3 linked regions of the Lonchura striata genome follow. The protein of the gene in region 2 interacts with the protein of the main gene of each other region in a biochemical or structural test. Links are inferred from orthologs where the notes say so. Each region holds a gene or a part of one and is shown on either strand. Other genes may lie near its edges.

Region 1 (7,678 bases), on a different chromosome or scaffold from region 2:
AACCAGTTTCCTGGTTAAGCTTACTGAAAACAATACTCAGTAACTACTTCCAGCTGAGTGTGAACATTTGCTATGACGTAACCTACCAATCAGAATTCCAAGGACAGCGCTTTGCAGATTAATAGTGAGCTATCACTAAGAATAGAATGCAAGAGGAGAGAGGCTTCCAAACTTCTTCAGGTCTGGCTTCCTCTGCTTGGTAAAAGAAGGCCAGGAAGTGGGCAAGAACTTTGACATGGGTTTTAATTTTTAGGAAAGGACATTTATCCAGGTGCCTGCAGTATATCCCGGCAAGAAAAGTGACTTACTGCCCTTTTTGAACATAACCTTCAGGAATAAAAAAATTTTCATCTGTTAGACCTTAAGTAGCTCAAGCATAATAATTACTAAACACAGGCTAAAACAATCTGTTCCACAAATCTTGAAAACATTTTATAGCTTGCATGAAACCTGCTTGCTACCTTTATGACTGGACACTTATTCCCAATCCACACTACAGTGCCTTATGGATACTGCTACCAAAGTTGGGGAGATTACTTAAGTACATAGTAAGAAGAAACTGTTACAGGAAAAAAAAGCAGAATTTTAAAAAGAGGAGAAAAACACCCACTGTTCACCTGGGTAATCATACAGCTGTAGCAACTATGCCAGTCATTGCCTGGCTTGTAACAGCTGTTGGCTAAAGAGAAAACTACTTCCATGGAATGAAAGCTTTCTATAGAGGAGCCAAAATTGAGCTCAGAAATGCTGTGCAACCAGGTGCTTTGGCTTCCTAAAGAACACAAACATATAATTTTAAGTATTTTAAAAGTCTATGTATAGGCCTTATAGTTCTCTTCTGCACTTTAGTGTTCTCCAGCAAAAAAAAAAAAAAAAAAAAAAAGGGGAGGGGGAGAAAATTTAGGAGGGGGAAATCTCACGCACTTTTCACTTAAAACACGTAAAAATAACTTTGCAATGCAAGGCATCTTGCTCCAAGTATTACTCATTTTATTACAAGACAAAGCAATACCAAGTCTTGAGGGAGGTTAAAGATACAGGGACAAAATAAAGCTAAAAATCACACAAAATGAAATAAAACCAAATTATGATATAACATTTAAGAATATAGCATTTATTGCTGTGAAATGCAACATCAGAATTAGCTCATCAATGACTTATCACATGTTCAAAACAGGGTTTTTCAGAACCCAAGAAACAAGGTGATATGGGAGGCAATTATAAGAAAATTTAGTAGACATGAAAATATAGATGTATAAAGAACTGTAATGAAATGCGCAAAATTCTCTCTCAACAGATGAAGATAAGAAAATGCCTCTTTTCTCATTTAAATCAGAAGCCTCTCCATTACCAAACAGAAAAACAGAACAGTTGCTTCTTTACATTCCACAAATAAAATGGCTCACACAATGTCAAGTCTGCCACCCTTCTAACACAGTAGTTATTAAAATAGATCAACTTACAGAGGACAGCCACAGCTCCAGACTCAAACATGAGACATTCTTCTCTGTTCCTGGTTTCCACAATCACGCTGAAGGGAAGTGGATCCAACTTGTGATAGACACGGTATCCTTTACTGAAAGCCATTTTGCCTCAAACACACGGCCCTGGCCAACACAAGATGATGTTAATGAAACCTCCCTGTGCTTCCAGACACCTCCTGCAAAGTTGGTTTGACCCACGGCCTTTCCTAGGGATTTAACATGTTCAACAAAAACAAACAACAAAATCCCCTGCTCCCTCATTCTACCTCATGAGACTTAGTTTATCTACGTCCAAAAAAAAAAAAAAATTACAGGGATTACCTAAAGATGGCATAAGAGTGTTTCAAAACCAGAACTACCCAGAGAAACACCATTCAAAATCTGGATTTATTTAAAAGCTTCTTTGAGACAACTAGAGTTTTACAGAAACCCTGGCTTGTGTTGGAAAGGACCTTAAAGTTCATCCAGTTCCACCCCTTGCCATGGGTAGGGATGTGTTCCACTATCCCAGGCTGCCCCAAGCCCTGTCCAACCTGGCCTTGGATACTTAAAGGGATGGAGCAGCCACAGCTTCTCTGGGCACCCTGTCCCAGGGCCTTCCCACTTTCTCACAGAACATACCTAAATTTAGTCCTACTTTATTTTAGTTTAAAGCAATTTTTTTCCCAAAAGTTAATAAACAGGATTTCTTCTTAGGGAAATAAAAAAATAAAAGGTTTTCCAGCTACCAGCAATATGGAAGAGTAGCAACCACCTTAATGGCAAACCAATGCCAAAAGCAGAGAGGGAGCCTTCAACTTTTAGATCTATTCCACTAATTCTGCCCTTGTACAAAAAGACAGTATATTTTAAACACTGAAGCGGTCAAGGCATTTTAAAGGACTGTACAAAAACGTCAACGTATTTTTGGCTTTCCCTCCCCCCATTTTTTTTTAAATGAAGGCACGGTTTGATTTGGATTTAAACCCTGCCCTGCGGCGGCTGAAATATCGCAGTGTTATACTGGTGACGCTGCCCGCCAGCCACACACGAGTGAGACCTTAAAAAAAAACTCATAAAACCCTCACACTGCAGCAAACCATAAACAAATGCGAGAGCAGCCCAGTTTTCCGTGCTAAGGTTCGGGAAAACGCAGCGAAGGAGGATTGCGCCGGAGCGGGTCCTTGCGCCCTCCCTTCCCGGCAGTTCCCCGACCTCCGGAGCGGACACGCATGGCCTGCTTCGGCCTCTCCCGGGTCCCGCCGCGCCCGAGCGGGCTCAGGGCACGGCCGAGCCGTGGGCCTCCCAGGGCCGGGCTGCCGCATTCCCGCAGAGCGCAGAGGGACGCGCTGGGCAGCACCCGCCCCTGCGCAAGCCTGCCTGCCGCCCGAGCGCGTACGAGACCCCCAAGCCCCAGGCCGGCCCCGCGGTACCGCCACGCTCACCGTGCGCCCGCTGCCGCGGAGCCGGCGGAATCCGCTTCCTCCCGGCCCCGCGTCCTTCCGCACTGCGCCGCCCGCCCCGGGGGGAGGTGCCGGAGGGCGGGCACTGGGCCAAGGTGGGACGGAGCTGCGGTTTTAACGAACCGAGCCGTATACTGAGCACAGCCACGCCCCGGTCCCACTGTGGCGTTATTACGAGGAGCAGAAGCCAAGGAACGGGCTCAGGAGCAGCCCTGCGGATTGAGCCGCCACTGAACCACCTCGCTGGGTAAAGGGCTGTGAAACTCACAGCCCTCGGGTCGAGGGGGAGTCCTCTGAAGCCGGCGTCTTGCTAACTGCAGTCATGGAATAGAGCCGTGGAATATCCCGAGTTGGAAGGGATCCACAAAGATCATCGCGTCCAACCCCTGTCCCTGCACTGCAACAATCCCACCCCGTGCATCCCTGACATCGCTCTCCAAACGTTCCTGGAGCTCTGGCAGCCTCAGAGCCATTGCCCTGAGGAGCCTGGTCAGTGTCCAGCACCCTCTGGGGGAATAACGTTTCCTGACACTCAGCCTAACTCTCCCTTAACAGAGCTCCAGCCGTTCCCTGGGTCCTATCACTGTTCACAGAGAGCAGAATTACAGCTGGCCCTAATCTGCAGACCCCTAAAGAGTTCTCAGCTCAATCTCTTCTCCAGCTGAGTAAGCGCACTACTTTCAGCCGCCCGTGTGGCTCAACAGGGTCTTAGCGAAGAGTGCGCAGTTTCGGAGGCAGACTCCACAGCTGCCCGAGCCAAGGGGATTTTCCCCACTCCTGGCGCAGCTGCCGCTGGCACGGCAGGAGCAGGGCGGCCGAAGAGAGCGACCCCCGCGTTCTGTGCTGCTGGCCGCGCTCCGGCGGACACTGGGGTAGGCAGGGGCGGAACTGCAGCCCGCGGTGTCGCAGCTGTCCCGCGGCCCGGCCGGTGGGTACTGCCTGCAGCCCCCGCGCTCACAGGCAATGTTCATCACCGAGGTCTGGCTGCAGACCGTGCTGGGGCCAGGTTTTGTCAGGCAGGAGGATGATTTTTTTTTTTTTTTTTTTTGAGGCTCCTGGGAGTTATGCTCCCGCCGCTCCCTCCGCCGGCGCAGCAGCACCTGTCACTCACGCTAAGTCCCAGGCCACACACCAACCCTTTCACCGACACCACCCCCCGTTGCGTCATGTCGTCGTCCCATTGCCCAGCCCCCCGTTGCGTCATCGATCCGCCCCTCCATCGTCCCACCCCCGCGTTTTGTGCCGGACGTCGCCCGGTCACGCCCCTCCCGGCGAGATGGAGATGACTGCTTCCAGACACGTTTGTGACCAGAACAGCGACAGCAAACATTTGTCGCTATAGCGCTCAGAGGAACGCAGCACCAACAGAAAAGAGGCGGGGATAACGTCTGGGGCTGGCAGGGTAGCACTGAGCAGGTGGATTCGAGGGTGTCACGTTACAGGCTGAGGAACAGAGAGAGCCCACAGCGAAATTATGGGGTACAGATTGGGGTATACGGTAGAGGAGAGGTACACCAGTCCTCACCTCTCCCCCAGCCCTTACTGTTATAAACGAGCACAATAGGCTGTTAAATCCAATTAAAAGGATTTATTAATAGCGGAAAGCGAAAGCAAACCAGCGCGCGCTGGGCGGCAGTCGGTTCAACTACCGCGCCTAGCTCCCCGTTTCCCCCCCACTTATTGGGTTGTCTCTTCCGGGTGTGTGACGCTCTGGTGACGCTCCAGTGTCTCTTCTGCGCAGGCGCACCCTGTTGTTAGGTGGTTGTTCTCTGCCTCTTGATGGCGCCAGTGGTCTTCTTTAAGGTTGTCTCTGCGACCTGGAAATTCCCTCAAAAATAAGAAATGTTATCTCGAGGCACGTTTACATGTTTTGCCAAGTCTGTAACGGAACTATCCTTGAAACATATCTAGTTGCTTAGGTGTTTGGGTGCCTAGTAGCAGCCTTTTCAAAACAGTTCTAACTCCCTAAAAACTTCGTAACGAAGTCAACCTTGAAAGATAGTCACTGGAATGCATGAGATAGACACTGGAATGCCTGACAAGATGAGAACATGTTCAGACAAGTACAAGCTCTAATTAAAACTCTATTCTGTGAATATGAGAGACTCTATATGAACAAAAAGGCCTTATTTTCCTAACAATATCCCCCCTTTTTATTTTAACCTCCTTTTTGTTCATTAAAGCGTTCTAACTCTTTCTTGCTTAACTCTAAATACTCTTCAGTCTCTACTTCGCTAAGTGGCTCATACTTTGGCTTTACTATCATTAAATGTGCAGCTTCTAACCTATTTTTCACTAGGGTAATAAGTTTGCTAAGGATACATGGTCCAAAAGTAAGTATTAGAATTAGTAAAATTACTGGTCCCGCAAGGGTGGATAATAGAGTGGTCAGCCAGGGAGAATATGTAAACCAGGATTCATACCAACTTTGCTGGGATTCTCTTTCTCTTTTTCGTTGTTCTATTTGTTTGCGTAACTCAGCCATCGTGTCTTTTACAATACCTGTGTGATCTACATAAGCGCAACATTCTTCTTGTAAAGCAACACATAGTCCCCCTTGCTGTAAGAACAACAAATCTAATCCCCTTCGGTTTTGGAGGACTACCTCAGAAAGGGATTTTACTGATTTAACTAGTTCACTTATGGCTTTATCTATTCTACTTAGATCTTCATCTACAGATGTGCGCAGAGCTTTCATACCTTGGGTTTGACTTACTAGGGAAGCGACCCCTGTTCCGACTCCCGCTCCCCCTATGCTGAGCAAGATTGCTACCGTTAGTGCTGTAAGTGGTTCTCTCTTAACCAAGTAGTGTTCAGGGGTTTGTTGATGTTCTAGCACGTATTCTTTTGGGTGGTATACGATTCTGGGGATTATTAGAACTTGAATGCAGAAGTCTGAATTATTAAAGGCTTTTACCGATAGGCAGGGTGTAACTCCAAGTTGTTGACATACCCATTTAGTATTGACTGCTGGCATAAGCCAATCAAAAGGCTTGTCTGTTCTGTTAATGCTTATTGTTGTGTTGCAGAGGTGTCGTATATCTGCAGGAATTTTTCCTACGCACCTTCCTTGCCCACTAACTTGGGACAAGGTAATGCCTGGAACATTATCTCCTTCTTTTTTCCAGAGACACTCCTTTGGATTTGTACCATTTATTTCCCTTGCTTCGGATGTAATCCCAATAGCTTCATAAAAGGGTGGATTTATCATATAGCAAAGCCAACATCCTTTAGTTAGGTTAGGATGGGTATGATTTAGAACCCCAAAAGTAGCTTGCATGATTTTCCATAAAGTTGTATACCTCTGCACTAATAACTGAGGTTCTTGATTACCTTTGTCTATAACATTATCTCTGGCTTTATTACTTTCTTTTAAGTCATTGCTTATTATTGGATTTGGGCCTATAGGGCTAGGGTCGTGCGGTGCTACTTCTTTTTTTATTTGAATCAGATTTCCCGGATCATGTCCTTCTATCCAATGCCTAACCCCCCATGTTTTGCCTATTAACCACCCAGAATCGCTTGGTTGAGTGATATTTAGGTAAAGAAAGGTGCAGTTCCCAAGTAAGTTTTTCCCAGTCCAAGGCCACTCTCGTGGTCGTTTACATCCTACTGGTCCATGTCCTACCTTTAAATATTTATCTAATCCCCCACCCGGAGCCCACGCTGATGCTATTGTTTCACAGCCCCAATAGGCACAGTAATAATGTTTGGGGTAATTACAGTATTGCTTCCCTGGGTTTGAAGCGGGGCACATATAGAAGCTTGTTAAGTTTAACAGTCGCCCGCATTTTAAATTCCGAGTTAAATCACAGATTCCAACTTTGAAGCTCGGTGCTCCAGGTCCCGTTATTGTTTGTAAAATATGACGGGTATCGTGATCTTCCCATCTGCTTAAGGTCCATTTAAAGGGTTCATGTGAGTTAGCTGTAGCACTCTGAAGGGGAAACCATACAAACATAAAAACCCATAGGATTGAGTGATACGCACTGCAGGGGAGGATGTTACTTATCATGCTCAGTTTTACATTCCCATTTTCCCTCATTCCGTTGTCACCATTCTCATACTCATGATGATTTACGTTCTCTTTCAAGGTTTGGGAGGGCCCCTCATCCCCACTATCTACCTCTCTGTCTCGCCTGTCAACTTGGTTGCTACAAGTTACAGGGCAAGCCATCTTCCCGACAGCAGAGATATTCTTCAGGGGTGGGATCGTTCCCTCTCTCCCACTTTGATCTCCGGGAGATCCAATTTTTTGTATTCAACTGTGGAGTGTCGCACCTGAGTTTTTTAACTAATTTGCGACACTTAACCTGGACTATATCCGTGAGAAACGGACCCAGGGGCTCGTTGGAATGGTAACAGTGGAATTCAGGGTTGATTCCCTTTACGAAAACCTCCCACCACTCAGGGGATCCTTTAGTCAATTCCCGAGTGGCAACCTTGTAATTTAGTACTTCAGATGTCAATTTGCGCTGCTCCAGCCAGCAGCGTTGACATACACTTTTTGGAGCTCTCCCCTTTCTGCAGTGAGCCCACCACAATCCTTTACAGATTTTGCAGGAAAAACAGGCAAAAGGGTAACAATGACAATCTAACCAACTACACCTTACTCTAATACTTTGATGTTCAGCGTGGCCCTCCCCTTCCCAAGGTCTTTGTTCTTTTTCAAGTCGGATGAACCGATAGAAGGGCTGCTGGGCTGAATCCTCTAGACGTTTACAGTATCCTGGAGGTTTTGTTTCTCCAACT
Region 2 (8,010 bases):
GAGCCATATTATGCAATGAATGCAGTCATGTGGAAACAAAGCTCAAGCTATTTTAAAACAAGTCTGTTTAAATGCCCCAGACTGTCAACTCCATCACCCAAAGTGATTGTGGTAGTTTTATAACTGTACGTAAACCTGGAGGAAGCAATATTCTATCAGTCAAACTGGCATAACACTACTGGCAAAGGAGTCTGCAAGCCTAAGGAAAAGAGACCATTAGGTGGCACAGCACTTTGTTGCCCATTTCTGGAAAAACACACTTTAGATCTTCCTAGCTTCAGGATGTATGACAGATCTGCAGCAGCATGTTAACATTCAAATGGGGCTATTTCTCCTGCTCTGTGGATATTAGAAGTAAGTTAACAACCTAACCTGTTCCACAGTGGTCAGTCTAATGTGTATGAATGCAATTCTGTATTCATATCAGGACTTCCAGACTCACACTGCTTTTATAAACTCATGAAGTCTTCTCTAAACTTTATTTATATGCTGCACACAGGTAAATCCATTAGTTTTTCTGAAAGGGTGAACACTCGACTCATTCCAGAAGGTGCAAAGTATCCTGCTCTTCAATGTCTCACTGCTGTTGGCAGTTGGTCCATGAAAGTTGACAAGCATTAAGTTCTTCAGCACGGCTGCCAAACTGGCAGTACTTGATGCAGGTTAGTTTGACATTTCACATGTCAGAAAACAATAAATGAAATTAAATAAAATGGTTACATTGTATAAAACAGATATACCCTTTCTATGACTTAGGACACTATTAAAATAGCACATCATATAAATAAACATGAATAAGAATCAAATCAGTAATTTAGATTTCTTAAAACTTCCTATTTCTCTGGTCCTATCTGGAAGCTTAATTCATACCAGCAATGTCAATCTGTATTTCACCTGGTGTTTAACTGCTAGCCAAAAGGATTACTCCCTGGAGCAAGGTCAGCACAACTATGTCACAGATTTCTCACTCATAATGCAAACAAGCCAATAAGCAGATCACTCTTCAACATACTTGTGAGTCATTCTCATATATGAATGTGTCTTCATGGCTTGCATGAAAACAAACTGTGAAAGTCAAGGCTGGGGCCAAAAATCCCTGGGTCATCAGATGTCAGACAGCTAAATCTGGTAACAGAGACTTAAATATTTTGGTTCCAGACAACTAAAACTCTTCCTTCCTTCTGAATGACAGTACTGCTGACAATCAGTGTGAAAGTGTCATCTGAAGGACAAAACAGCATGCACAGACCTTTCACACCATTCTCCCTCCAAAAAAGAAGTTTACCTCTGCTGCTGCAGATGCATTCTCATTAGCTTACAATAATGGAGAACTGAGATTTCTAGTACTAAAAAGTGAATTTCAGCTTGCCTGCTTCTTAAACATGGACACCACAGACACTGAAATTCTTCTTTTCAGTACCAGAACTCATTGCCATAATGATGATTCCTAGGCTGCTCATAGCACCATAGGCAGCAGGGGAAGAAACAACAAAGTAAGCAGCAGCAGATGGGCACTGCTGGATGGGCTCAGGCACCCTTACCTGCTCCTTATGGCATCTGTTTTGAGTGCAGCCGTTTTCTTGCAAGGATTATTTTACCAATGATGCAGCACAATGTGGCATGAAAGGTGAGACATGGTGTTATTCAATGCCTTCATACACCCATGCAGGACTTGGTATAAAACCATTGCATTCAGAGTTATAGTGTGTACCGGTGTAACTACAAAGTGTCGAAAATCAGAATTTGGACAAATATTTGGATGAAGGATAATTTTTACAGAATATTTCCCCATAGTGCTCAAGAGATGAGATGCATGAGAAGGGGAAATACACAGGTGTTGAAAAGTCTAACAGGTTAATACATCTTGTATGCCTGGACCTACAGATTGCTTGCAGTGACCAAGATTCCTAGCTGAAGATGCCTGCAATGGCAAGCAATAGGAAATAACTGGAGATTTTGTATTTAGTTACAAACAAAACAACCCAAATAAACAAAACAACAAACACACAACCAACCAAAAAAACCCCGCCCACACTGCATGGGTTTTGGTGTCAGCTCTCTGGATCTAAATCAATTCCTCTGACTTTTATGAGACCATTTTTTATTAGATTTTTAGATTTGTCCCCAAAGTACACTAAGTCAGAAATTGACTTGCAGACTGTAACACACAAATTTTGTATTATGAAACAACTCAACTACTGGTGAAACACTCACCCTGACTGACCTTCCTGCAATATCACACCATGCCTAAAGCAACAGAACCAAACCTCATTACTCGGATTTCAGCTGTGGTCTAGACCCACGAAACAAAAAGGTCATGTTTATTGCTGTTTTCCCAAAGTCAGGCTAAAACAAACAACGCCTATGGAAATACGGTGCAGAGACCTGGGCAGGGAAGGTCTGAGCCCACGGCCGGTGTTTGCTGCAGCAGCTGCCCCCGCGGGCTCCAAGCGCGGAGGTCGGGGCAGCCCAGGAGCTACTCCCGCACCCCGGCAGCCCCTGCCCGCTGCCGCAACGCGGCCGGAGCGAGTGGGGGGAGGCGCGGCCGCCCGGCGAGCCCCGGCCCTCCGCAGATGGACACCCCTGCAGACCCTGCACCCTCCGTGCACATCCCTGCGCGCACCGCGCACACCCGGCCAGACACACGGCCCCTCGCACGCTCACTCATCACGCACGACCGGGCACAGCATCCGCGCAAACCCACTCACCCCGCACGCACTCGAGCGGAGCCCCGCGCACGATCCCGCACGGCGCACAGCCGTGCATGCCCACGCGTCCGCTGGCCGCAGCCGAGCGCGCTCCACGCGCGAGCAAAGGGCTCGGTACCTGCGTGGCTTTGTGGAACTGCTTCTTCAGCCCGGCCACCGACATGGCGAGGGCAGCGCGCAGCAGCCGAGCCGAGCCGAGCCGAGCCGAGCCGAGCCGAGCCGAGCCGAGCCGAGCCGAGCCGAGCGCTCTGCCTGCCCGCACCGCACCGCGCCCGGCGGAGGCTGTCAGGCGCGGCGGCGGAGCGGGAGCGCCGTGACGTCAGGGCGGGCCGCGCCGCCTCCGGCCGCCCCCGCCCCGCAGGTGCGCCGGCAGCGGCGCCGCGGGGCTGCGCGGACCGAGCGCTGTCCGGCGCGGACACCCCCGGGATGGGCACCCGCCCCCGCCTCGTCGGTCCCGGGCACGGGCACGGGTGTTCTCCGTCCTCCCCGCCCTCCGCGGACCTCGGTCTTGCCTAAGCAGCCTTCCCAGCAGGGATCGGGATACTCGTCCCCGCGGGACATCATCCGGGGAAATGAACCCGAAAAGAAATTGGCGGAGCAGTAATGGGGGCAAGAGAGGAAAGCAGTAGGAGAGGGAATGTCAGTGTTGGCCAGTTTTCTGAAAAAAACCTTTCTAGCAACGCCAGCTTATTTGGGCCTGATCGTGCCTCACTGAAGCACAGCTGGTAGTCAAACCCCGGCTAATTGGGATTCTCTCAACAAGTGCTGTTTTCTTCATCCGTCAGATTGTCAGTGATGCATAGAAAAGCACTTCTAAATTTCGCCTGTTCCAGCCTTCTGGTGTGGCTGTTTGCTGGAGAGTAAAAGCCTAGAACCCATCTAAAAGTCATGTACTTTAGCAGTTTAGTGTTACAAATACTAGCTGAACAGTAATTAGCAATTATTAGGCTCTGCCAGCAAAAGACTAAACAACATGAGCAATGTGATCCAAACACAATGATCCTTCTCTGCAGGCTGAACCAGTCACTGCATATGTGTGCTGCAAATTGGCACAACGGAGATGCACACTCACAGCTCCTCAGCTGTTTGAAGGCAGCCATGCTACATTGGCGTTTAATTCCATCACAACAAACACTCATCACATGAGCTAGTTAGACAGCATTTTCAGAAGCCTCTAAAGCTGTTTATAAACTCTGTGAGGGCTTGCCATGGTGCTTCACGCAGACTTTTTGCACATAATCAAACTGTACTGCTGCAGGCTTCAGGCACACATACCATCAACCTCACCAGATATGGGGGAAAGGGTTGATGCCACACCTCTGGGCATCCAGAGGCAGAGCCAGGCCTCCAGATCACTGATACAGTGCAGTTCTTGGAAGTTACTTGCAGAGAAGAAAAGAATCTTAAATGGAATTCCTGTGGGCACTTTTGGAAGCGCTATCAAAGTTGTTCATCATCAAGAATGACAAAATAAGAATACCTCTCTTCTCCCTGGAGAGTGTGAGATGGCAATAACCTCATCCTGAGCATAAGTAGGAGGCACTGCTTTCTGGGCTAGTTCCAGGTCTGCACAGAAACACTTCCATCCACTCTAGTAGTAATATTGTTTTAAAGGATGAAAAATATGATCATATGAAGATACTAGGGAGAGAGTGGGTGTCTCCTGTGCCAGCCATTGTACTTTTAATAGAAAACTTCCATTGTACCTAGTACTTGGGAAAAGGAATTTCAGTCTGGAAACACAGTGAGAACTAAAAAGTCAACTATCACTGTGCCAATCCTTGTGTCCAGTGGGGGACCGTCCCATGCTCTCCCGTGCTTCAGGAGGTCGGGAGGGCAGCTAAGGCTTTTGTCCTGGTGGGGTGAGACAGTTGCAACGATGGTGGAAGCAAGGAGTCGACCCCAATCAGGGGTTAAGTCCAGGTTTATTGAGGACATCTCCGTGGAGATTCATAATGCAGGGGAACCAAGCAACTGAAGCCCCGGATTAGGCTGTGTGGCACAACATAAATGAGGATGGAAACAGGGAAGGAGATCAGCCACCTATGGGAATGTTCGGGGGAGTGGAAGGTGGGGAGAGAGACAGGTGAGGAATTCAACGGGGAAGGTGGGAAGGACGGACCCCTGGCCCCTGTCCAATCACTCAATGCTCTCTGTGGAAGGTTCTGAATGAGTGGGATGGGGAGTTGAGTGATGGACAAGGCACCAGGGAGAGGATAGGGGAATTATCCAGCAAACGGGAGGGGGATTGACATCAGGGAAGGAGGAGGGGATTGGCATACAAGGAAAGGGGTAGTTCGCAGTAAAACCAATGGGGGGGGGGTCTAAAGGGATGAACCATTAGAGAACTGATACAAAAACATGACACTTAAAAACACAATACAACAGTAAACCTATGATAAAAGCCATAATTTTGAATAATTTTTATAAAATTAAGTATGTTACTAAATAACTGGCTTTCAGTGGTAACATTTCAGAATCTAACTTTTGTTGGCTATTTCAAGAGTACATTCCTCTCCACTACAAATTTATGTGAAAATTTTATAAATAAATAACAAATAAATCAATATATAAATGTCTGCCAAATTCAGTGTCAGGGTGATGAGCTGGAGATACAACGTATCTCTCATTTTCAAGAGTATTAGAAACTCTGATGTTCCCACTGCCTGTTGATTGAAATGATACCTGGCTATAAATCAGCCCAAATCGTAGTTGAATTCCCTGACTCACCTATATTATTGTCTGTATATTCTCACAACTTAATCTGGCACTTTCACTTCTGCTCATACATTTTTTTTTCTTTTTCTTTTTCTTTTTCTTTTTCTTTTTCTTTTTCTTTTTCTTTTTCTTTTTCTTTTTCTTTTTCTTTTTCTTTTTCTTTTTCTTTTTCTTTTTCTTTTTCTTTTTCTTTTTCTTTTTCTTTTTCTTTTTCTTTTTCTTTTTCTTTTTCTTTTTCTTTTTTTTTTTCCTTTTCCTTTTCCTTTTCCTTTCTTTCTCTTTTTCCTTTTCCTTTTCCTTTTCCTTTTCTTTTTCCTTTTCCTTTTCCTTTTCCTTTTCTTTTCCTTTTCTTTTCCTTTCTCTTTCTCTTTCTCTTTCTCTTTCTCTTTCTCTTTCTCTTTCTCTTTCTCTTTCTCTTTCTCTTTCTCTTTCTCTTTCTCTTTCTCCTTCTCCTTCTCCTTCTCCTTCTCCTTCTCCTTCTCTTTCTCTTTCTCTTTTTTTTTTCTTCTAGAATATCTATGTTTCTGGGAGTGGAAATCTTTATTAATCTTTATTAAAGCACAGTTCATGTGTATCCTGCTTGTGTCAATGGGCTTAAAACCCCTTTTTGTAAATTAAATAGTGTCACTTCTTGGACAAAGAGAAATTAATTTAGTGACTGCTCTTCAGTATATCATGTCATTTGTGATGTCCTCTCCTGGAGGTATCTAAATAATGCTTTGAAATCAGCTTTAGTGAAATGACTTCTGGTTTTAATAAACTATAGCAAACAACAAATATTTGCCTATGATGTGCTACATCTGATTCTAAATTTTTTTATGTAATAATGAGATCTATATCAGTAAGTCCAAATGCCATTTTAAAATGAGTAAGTATGATAGGCTAAGCACCTCGTTTTATTTCACACAGACAAAAGAAATTCTAACAGTAACTTAAAATATCCCCATTGTTGCAGCTGCAAGGAATAATCAAGTGCAGAAAAGACAAAGACTTTTGTAGGTGCAAGCCTAGTCCTTTTTTTTCATGGACTATTATGACATTAGGTTGTAAATCACTATAGTTCTTACATAACATACAGTTGACTCTGCAAACTTAGAACTGCATTCTCATTGACAGTCATTTAGTGAAATAAGTGGAAATATTCACTTCAATATGTCTTCAAGAATTTGATTCATACTTCAATTTATACAGCTTTTTAGATTTTTTCTCTTAAAAAAGCTGGTAGGTAATACTTCAACAGCACACAGTCATGTAAAGCAGAATAAAATCCACTTGATAAGTTGTCAACCAAAATAAAATAAAATGCTAAAAGTACAATTAAACATTAGCAAAAAGTGTTTGTAAAACCAAAAATCTAATTGCAGGAGAAGGTGGCATAGATGATAAGTCCTTGCAGAAGTTGCAGTGGAAGCAAATCACTCTGTTTAGCACTCAGGTAATAAAATCACGTTGAAAACCAAAAGTAAATATAATGCAACAAAAAGAAGCAAACAAACAAACAAAAAAAAGAAGAAACCAGACAGGATTATGAATACAATTTTTTTTCTTGATAAGTAACACCAAAAAGAAAAACCCCCTAAATATTTCTTAGAGAATTCATTCATATTTTGCTGGGGAAGAATTTGGGTATTTATTAAGTTCTTATGGTGCTATGTCAATATTTTTACATGAAATATTTGTTGATATTTTCACAATAATTGAGTAAGACAGAAAAACATAAACATCCTTATGAATAGGAAAGGCTCCACAGAAGGTGTGGTCATTCACCCACAACTGATCAGGAACTGTGTTTCTAACAGAAATTAAGCCAGAAATTAAAAATCAGACCACTCAGTTGAAATCTAATCTGGGCTACACTACTACAGGTCAGGTGGCAAAGACATCTAAATTTAAGCTGTGTAAATCAGCAGGCAATGAATAATTGCATGAGCATTAAAATAGTGCTGACTTTAAAAAAGATTGAAAGATGGTCATTTAAGTGTGAGGCATAAAGGAAGCAAGCAAAAAAATTGTTATTTAATTATCTTTTAAAAAATTAATTCATTCACTGATTAGGAAATATTTTGTCAGCTTATGACTATAAAAAGGTGCACAAGACATAGACAATAAGTTACAAGTAAGGGAAGATGGAAACACCTAAAAAGGAAAGAATCAAGGTAGAAAAATATCAATAACCTCTATCCTTTTTTTTGAATTACAGGAACCCTTTAATTTCATTTCACACAAACCAATAAAATTAAGAAGAATTAACAGCATTGTTCTTATCAGTTAAGTAGTATTACTCTTCCAACCACTGAAGATACAGATTGAATGGCTGAATTTTTGTGTGTGTCAAGCATGACATAGATTATCCAGGTTTGGTAGAGTTACCCTTCCAAATTATCTATCTCCAGTCTCATGGACTCATGACATCTCTTTTCTTTCTTAATAGATGATCAATATATGAGATTTCCTACAATGTCCAAGAGTTCCTCTTTATAAAAGTACAAAAAGCTTGACTGGACACAATACCATTACTCTCACAGTATTTTTCCTCAAACACAGTTCATTAAAGCTCAACAGGTCCCCATGCTCAAAAGAAAAC
Region 3 (6,996 bases), on a different chromosome or scaffold from region 2:
AAACCAGCCCTGGCAGGGCCTCCAGCCCCTGTGCTGAAGTGTCTGCATCATGCTAATCAGCCAGTACCAACCACATCAGCATTTGGTCTTGCACAGATTTCCATCCGCTCAGAGAGAAACTCATCAGTACTCACATTCCCTGTGCAGCAAGCAGCTGCTGAGCAATAGCTGCACCACCATCCTGGTATCAAGCAGGAGCAGTGACATATGTCATGTCCACACTACAGCAATAATTGTATTTGTACACAGTAGGTCTACACACAGTTTCTTCTTATGGCTGTTCAGACAAGAAAACATCCCCTATCACAATTACACTGAAGAACCATGCTCATTCTGGATACTATTTCCATAGCTCCTTATCATGGTTACCAATACCCACAGAGAAAGAAAAGAGACTATACATTACAGCAGGGCCCCAACACTATTTTAACAGGATTGGGATTTGCAGCATATACACATACATTATGTGGTAAGAGGTCTCAAGTTACCAGTCTAAACTAGCCAGCACTCAGGGGTATCAAATGGAGAAAGACCTTTTCACACTGACATTTTCCATTTCCCCTCCAATTATTTCCTCTAAATGCTTTTCTACCGACAGCTCTCAGCTCCTGCTCAGGGGACCTTTAATTATTTCATTTTCGAAAAGCCACAGCGCTGTAACTTGCTGCTAGAGAGACAGCTGATGGGACACGGTGAGGTCATAAGTTCTCCTGTGACTGGAGTCATCAGAAAGAGACAGAAGATAATTGAATTCATATATTTTCCACCAAGCAGATAAAATGCCATTCTAAATTAGTGCCAGTGTAGATGCATCAAGGATTAGTAAATCCTCTTGTGTGGTTGGTCTAAAGGAGAGGAGCAGTTTACCCCAATACACTGACTGTCCTTCCTCCAACAAATCCCCCTCTGGCCCAGCAGCCCGACATTATCTACGACACCACTGCAGCACTGCCTGCACAGATCCTCTAAAAAGGATTTATGAGCTTTGACTGCCAGTACTTAGAAAGCATGAAAACAGCAGGGCCAACAGGTGAACCCATTTTGCTCAAAGACTTCAGAAGATCCATTTTCCCCTTCTTCGAAAGCCACAGCCCAGCAAGTTTCTCACTTGGGTGGCAGGAATTTTATTTCTTTTCTGTGACTGTGGACAAACAAGTGGATTCTGGACTATGACCTGAGACTCAGTAAAATGTGTTTCTGCAATGTCTGGCCCTTGGCATGATCCCAGCATCTCTCAGGGATACACTGCATGGACCTTTGGAAGTTAGCTAGAAGAGATACCAAACTCTTCAAATTTTATATTCTTATTTTTTCAAAACTCTTTGATCTATGGCAGAGAAGAAAACATTTTATTTTGACCATGCTTTCTTTGTACCAGATGTAACCCCTGAGCTTTCCTCCTAGTACACCCAGCACTCACTGCTCAAAGATACCCTTGCACGGGTCCAGAATTTGGCTACTTGCAGCTAAGCAAGCAGTTAATCCACACCACAGACCCTTCTGACAGTGGAAAAGCCCTATAAGCCATCGAACAGCAAACAGCTTAAAAGAAAAAGTGGGGGTTGGGAAATGAGATCCAGTAGATGTTGTCACAAATGCAGTTTGCTGAAAGAGAAAAGCCCACGCAAGCATCTGACCAGGTATCAGCAATCACTGCTCTTAAGGCAAGTCCCCAGAAACCTGCGTGCTCCTTACAGCATAAAAAACCACTTTGATAACTAAAACCCGTATATAACTTAATACAATTAATTAACAAGGCCAGAAAAAAGGTGAGGAACGTTCCCCCCCTCCCTCCAGGTGTTGTGTGTCTGCACTGGAGGAGATACCCAAGCAGCGCGGTCTGCAATTTACTCAAGTTGCAGATGATGAATGCGAAGGTCACATGAAGGGAAAGCATCAGTATATTGCCTGCCACAAAATGGTAGCACCCGGGGATTTGAGCATATAGGATAGCTATAACCCCGTCCTTCCTATAGCCTCCCCGCAGCTCCTGACATGGCATCCGCTATGGAGGACAGCGAGCCTGGGCTGGGGGAGGGGGACGGAGCAGATTAAACTTAAACACCCTCCGCATCACTCCCCCCGCAGCGACAACATCCATCTCTGAGCCCCGCACCGAGCAGGGGACGGATGGGGCCGGCCCCCACAGCCCCTTCAGCCTCCTCCGTTATGTAACACCAGGACGAGGGGGGGCTGCCACCGGCCGCCAAGGTGCGGCAGTGGCGGGGACCCCGCTGCGGAATGCCCCCAGGCGGGGAGCGAGCCCTCCCTCCCTGCCTTCCTCCCGCGCCTCCCCGTACCCCTGCACCGCAGCGCCCGGGCGTCCTGCAGCGCTGCCCGCGCACCACACACGCGCCGAGCGGAGTAGCCGCGAGCGGAGCGCAGTCCCCGCTCCGCGCGGTCCCCGCACCGCGGCCAGAGCGCCCGCACCGCGCTGCCCGTGCGGAGCCGCTGCCCGCGCGGAGCCGCTGCCCGCGCTGCTCCCGCACCGCGCTGCCCGTGCGGAGCCGCTGCCCGTGCGGAGCCGCTGCCCGTGCGGCGGCTCTGCCCGCGCTGTCCCCGCACCGCGCTGCCCGTGCGGCGGCTCTGCCCGCGCTGCTCCCGCACCGCGCTGCCCCCGCACCGCGCTGGCCATGCGGCAGCTCTGCCCGCGCCCCCGGGGACACCCCCGCTCACCTCCCGACGAAATTCTCCAGCACGGAGCTCTTGCCGGCGCTCTGCCCCCCCACCACGGCGATCTGCGGCAGGTCGAGGTTGGCGTTCTGCCCGATGGCGGCGAAGGCGTCCTGCAGCCGGTTGACCAGCGGGATGAGATCCTCCATCCCGCGGTTCCCCATGGTTGCGGCGCGGCTCTTGGCACAGGCGAGCTCGCACTAACCCTTCCCGCAGCCCTCCCCGGCTGTGGGGCCGGTGGGCAGCGGCTCCAGCCCGCGCCCCTCGCCCCGCTCGACGCCGCCCGGGCTCCGCTCGCCTCAGCCCGCCCGCCGCGCCTGTGGAGCGCCCCGTGCTGCCGCCAGGGGGCGTTAAAGGTACCGGCGCCGCGCTGCATCCCGGGAGATGTAGTCCGGCGGCCGTGAGGGGCCGAGGGGGCCGGGATCGGGGCGGCGCGGCCCTGGTGTCTGTGCCCAGAGACCTGGGAACGGGGCTCGCTCCCAGAACCAGAGCAGTGCAGGTTACCCGGGGCTGCCTCTGTGTGCGGCAGGTTGGCACACCGGCGTGGCCCAGCCGGTGTGGGTGTGCTGGCCCCGCAGTCAGTCCCGGTGTACCTGTGGGTGAGCCCCGCACGGTGCCGAAGCCCTGTGGCGGTCACTGCCGCCAGCCGTGCAGCGCTGCAGCGGGCAGGGAAGATGTGCTGGAAGAACCCACTTGGCTCGGCTCCTACACCTGCACTTTGTGATCCTCACAGCCGCAACGTTTACTCAGTGCGCCATGGCTTGGTCACAGCACCTGTATGGGAGGGCTTTGTGTGGAGACAGCACTTGTGAAATCACCAAAATGCAAGAAACACTTGAGATTATTAAACTGGAGCTTTGCAAAAATGCTACCACTCTCTGAGCATCTGGCTAGAATAAGATGGCAGAGGTTAAAATAAGAATTTTTTTTTTAAGGTCTCTTCCAACCCATTCTATGATTCTGATGCTTCATTCAAACACAGATGTAAAATGTATCAATTTCTGTTTATAGCTGTAAAACAGTGGATGTGTTGCCAGGCTTGTTTTAGAGAAACACAAACAGGTGCTTCATTTTATGCACCCAGATTTTGTTTTTAAAATTACTTGTCTGCAATAAAGAGGGAACAGCTTGGTTTTATGGTTTTTAAAAGGGATAGATTTTTAATAAGAATATAACATGAGGCCATATTTGATTTCAAAGTACAGCAATGAAAACAAGTGTTCAAAAAAGCATCTGATGGCTAGCAATGACTCAGAAGGATGGAGAGTGTCGCATTTCAAACACCCCTCAGTTCGTGCTACCCAAGACTCCTATTCACAGCTCAGAGAGGGATGGGGGTGGAGGGGGAAATGAAGTACAAAAAACTGCAACAGATTTTGAGCTGTCTGTTTTGTTTTGTACAGCAGCTTTTTAGTTATAATAATTATAATGACTATTTCACAGGTGTCCATCAAATTTAATCCATGCAAAAATACCTATGTGGACATACAGAGAAACTGAGGCAACCATGGTGAGGGATGAATTTGCCCCATGCTCTAGCACATCACCAATGTGCAGGTAAGAACACTGAAGGAAGGGAAGGGAGCTGCTCCATCTGTACGGGTAACACCATTGTAGGGCATACGTGGGCAGTTTTGGGGGCTGTCAATGCTATTTTTTCCTCTCAGCAAATTACCCAGTAAATCTCAAGAAATAAGCTTAAGGAATTCAATATAGACTGTGGACAAAAGCCTTTGAGCATCCCTGCAGCCATTCAGATAATTTATGTTGAAGGATTCTGGAAAAAAACTGCTATAGATAGCTGCTCCTTGTAAGAGGTCACCACAAAAAGAACAGTGAAGAGTATCAAAGGCTCAAATAATGATGTCACCTTCCTCCCTGGATCAGAGCTGAAGCTCAGGGAACTTTAGACCATGAGGATCTTTGAAGCTTTATTTGAGGAACCAAAAGCAGAAAACTGACCTTTTCCCAGGGCTCGCTGTACCGTGAAGTTCACCAACTGCAATACAAAGACTGCCCAGTTGCATCACTTCAGTCACCTCACACAATTTACCAGCTGTACTAAAAACTCTCAGTGGCCATGGCCAGCCTCACCTGGGGCTTCCCCCCACATCTGTGGACCTGGGTGGGCCATCAGTCCTGCTGACTTATGGAGACGTGTTTGTCTCTGGTTGCAGTCTATGGAGTCTTTGGGTCTGGCTTTCACACATAGGTTGACTCCTTAGCTTCATCCCCATGTACACTGGGTAGATATTTTGTTCTGGTTGAGTCAGCTCTAGAACTAATCATTCAGGTGATATTTCTTTTGGAAAAGCTAAAATGAAACTAATCCATTTTCTTTGAGAAATGTTTGTGACAGACTATTGAAAATATAATATATCAACAGCTGATGTTGAAGACTGAGGGGAAAAATAAGATTTATATTGCCAGTTAAGGAGCTCATACAGTATAAAGGCTCATGCATGACTTCTTTGCAGGTGATTTTTCCTACACTATCTAGTTTTATTTTTCCATTAAACTAATACTTAGTTCTTAGGAAATGTGGTCCTTTGGGGGATATATGAGGGGTTTTGGCATTATTGAAATCTTAAAGGGCAAAACTGGACAGGAGGGATGAGAGGAGCTAATAGGGTGCTCTCCAGGCACACAAGAAAGCAATAAAAGAAATTATGGAATTGGAAAAACATGCAGAAATATTGGCGAATTTTGCATGGATCAGTATTAGTGTAAAACTGAGAGATGCACAGAATCTGCTCCAGCTTCTTTGTCCTGCAGAGCTTTTTGTAAGCAGATGAGCTCCAGTGTGTCTGCCTGCAGCATCACCCTAAACCACTCATTTACAGTGTGAAGTCTGGACGCTTCTGCAGCGACTGCAGCCGCCCAGCCCAGAGAGACTGACCCCGAGCATCCCAGACAGCGAGGCTTGGATTTTCTGAAGCTTTACGAACCTACTCCTCCCTCTGATGAAAAAGCGAACTGCAGGCACTCGGAATCGCTCCTAGAGCCTTCCATTTTCTCCCCTGCCACAAACTGAGTTGCAGGGATGTCTCAGCAAACATACCTTTTGATTCTGTAATACCTCCTACCTGTGACTTACTCAGCAGCATTTAGCAGACAGAGCAGGAAAAACAAAAGGAATTTCAATAACTGGAATGAATAGGAAAAATCTATTTTTTTATCTTAGTAGAAAAACTGAAGATGTGAGCAAAGAAAAACAAGAGGAATGAAAGATTCCCCCCGCCCTGTGCTATAAATATTTCTGAATGTACTTTAACATGAATCCCTAAAAATGCATGTGGCCAAGCATATGTGTGTTTCTATGTATGGCTATCAACATAACCACAGTTGTGTATGCTGATTTTGTCACCTCATGCAAATAGGACTCCCAGTTTAGTTAGCATAATTAGAAATAGACATTTGAGAGCTGGATTCTGTCCTTCATTCCTTGCCCTTGCAAAAATAACATATCTAGTCCTCAGAGGAAAAAAGAGGCAAAAATGTGGAAAGCAATTAGCTTGTGAGTTTCTAAGTTCCTTGCAAACTGTTTCTGCTGACTCCAGGTAGTGTGAATGTTTAGAACATTTCACTGTGGGTCTTGAAGTGGATAATTCTGGCCTTTGGGGTTCCTAAAAATGGTTATAAACACAGGTAAAAATTTTAATTGAATGGTTAAAAGTTCCAAAAAGAAACTGGTCTAGGATTGTCATTGTCCATACTAATACTACATGATACAGCTGATCAATAGTTAAAAATATTAACTAAAATTAGCCTCTTACATTTCCATAACTATCTAAAGCTGCATATAGAGATAGAAAACGCTTAAGTATCTATTTTCTAGGTACTAAAGTGCTACTATAGTAGCAATGGTACCACAGTAACATCATCAATCTCTTGTGGTATCAGTTACTCAGAGAAAAAAAGTTGATTTCTAATGCTCCTATTAATTGCAAAAGCTATTTGAAAGAAAAGCAGTCTTTAATTTTTGAGTTTTCAAATAGAATGCTTTTCTTTGTAGAATAACATAGTGAGATGCTTCTGCATCTTCTGTGCTTAAACTGAATTGGTGTGAAAATCCCCCAAAAAGAGGTAAAAGAAGGTAAATCTGGTGTATAAGACACTAGGACAGTATTATTGTGAGTGTAACTTGCCAGAAGCCAGAGTATACATAAGGAAAGAAAGAAGCTGAATGTTATACTCCATTAAGAATGGGATCTGTGCATGGATGTGATTTTAAATTAATATTTTAAGAGCAACAAAGATGAGTTCTCTGTGCTTTCTGCATCCTGTAGATGTCATAAAATAGCTCCTGGTATATATTTTAGC

What was found.
Region 1: the proteins of SH3GL2 (region 2) and SYNJ1 form a complex in vitro, tested with the Homo sapiens proteins (2 studies listed by BioGRID and IntAct, with this or other methods). The link is inferred for Lonchura striata from reciprocal best matches to the Homo sapiens genes SH3GL2 and SYNJ1.
Region 3: the proteins of SH3GL2 (region 2) and DNM1 form a complex in vitro, tested with the Homo sapiens proteins (2 studies listed by BioGRID and IntAct, with this or other methods). The link is inferred for Lonchura striata from reciprocal best matches to the Homo sapiens genes SH3GL2 and DNM1.

What each region holds. Positions count from the first base shown.
Region 1 is NC_134604.1:19,416,638-19,424,315, reverse strand, and holds the start of SYNJ1 (synaptojanin-1), read right to left. Parts: upstream 3,001-7,678; 5' UTR 2,909-3,000; intron 1,608-2,908; 5' UTR 1,588-1,607; coding exon 1,464-1,587; intron 1-1,463. UniProt on the Homo sapiens protein: Phosphatase that acts on various phosphoinositides, including phosphatidylinositol 4-phosphate, phosphatidylinositol (4,5)-bisphosphate and phosphatidylinositol (3,4,5)-trisphosphate. Has a role in clathrin-mediated endocytosis.
Region 2 is NC_134642.1:22,234,127-22,242,136, reverse strand, and holds the start of SH3GL2 (endophilin-A1), read right to left. Parts: upstream 3,013-8,010; 5' UTR 2,872-3,012; coding exon 2,827-2,871; intron 2,732-2,826; exon of another isoform or gene 2,709-2,731; intron 1-2,708. UniProt on the Homo sapiens protein: Implicated in synaptic vesicle endocytosis. May recruit other proteins to membranes with high curvature. Required for BDNF-dependent dendrite outgrowth.
Region 3 is NC_134624.1:507,544-514,539, reverse strand, and holds the start of DNM1 (dynamin-1), read right to left. Parts: upstream 3,001-6,996; 5' UTR 2,838-3,000; coding exon 2,677-2,837; intron 1-2,676. UniProt on the Homo sapiens protein: Catalyzes the hydrolysis of GTP and utilizes this energy to mediate vesicle scission and participates in many forms of endocytosis, such as clathrin-mediated endocytosis or synaptic vesicle endocytosis as well as rapid endocytosis (RE).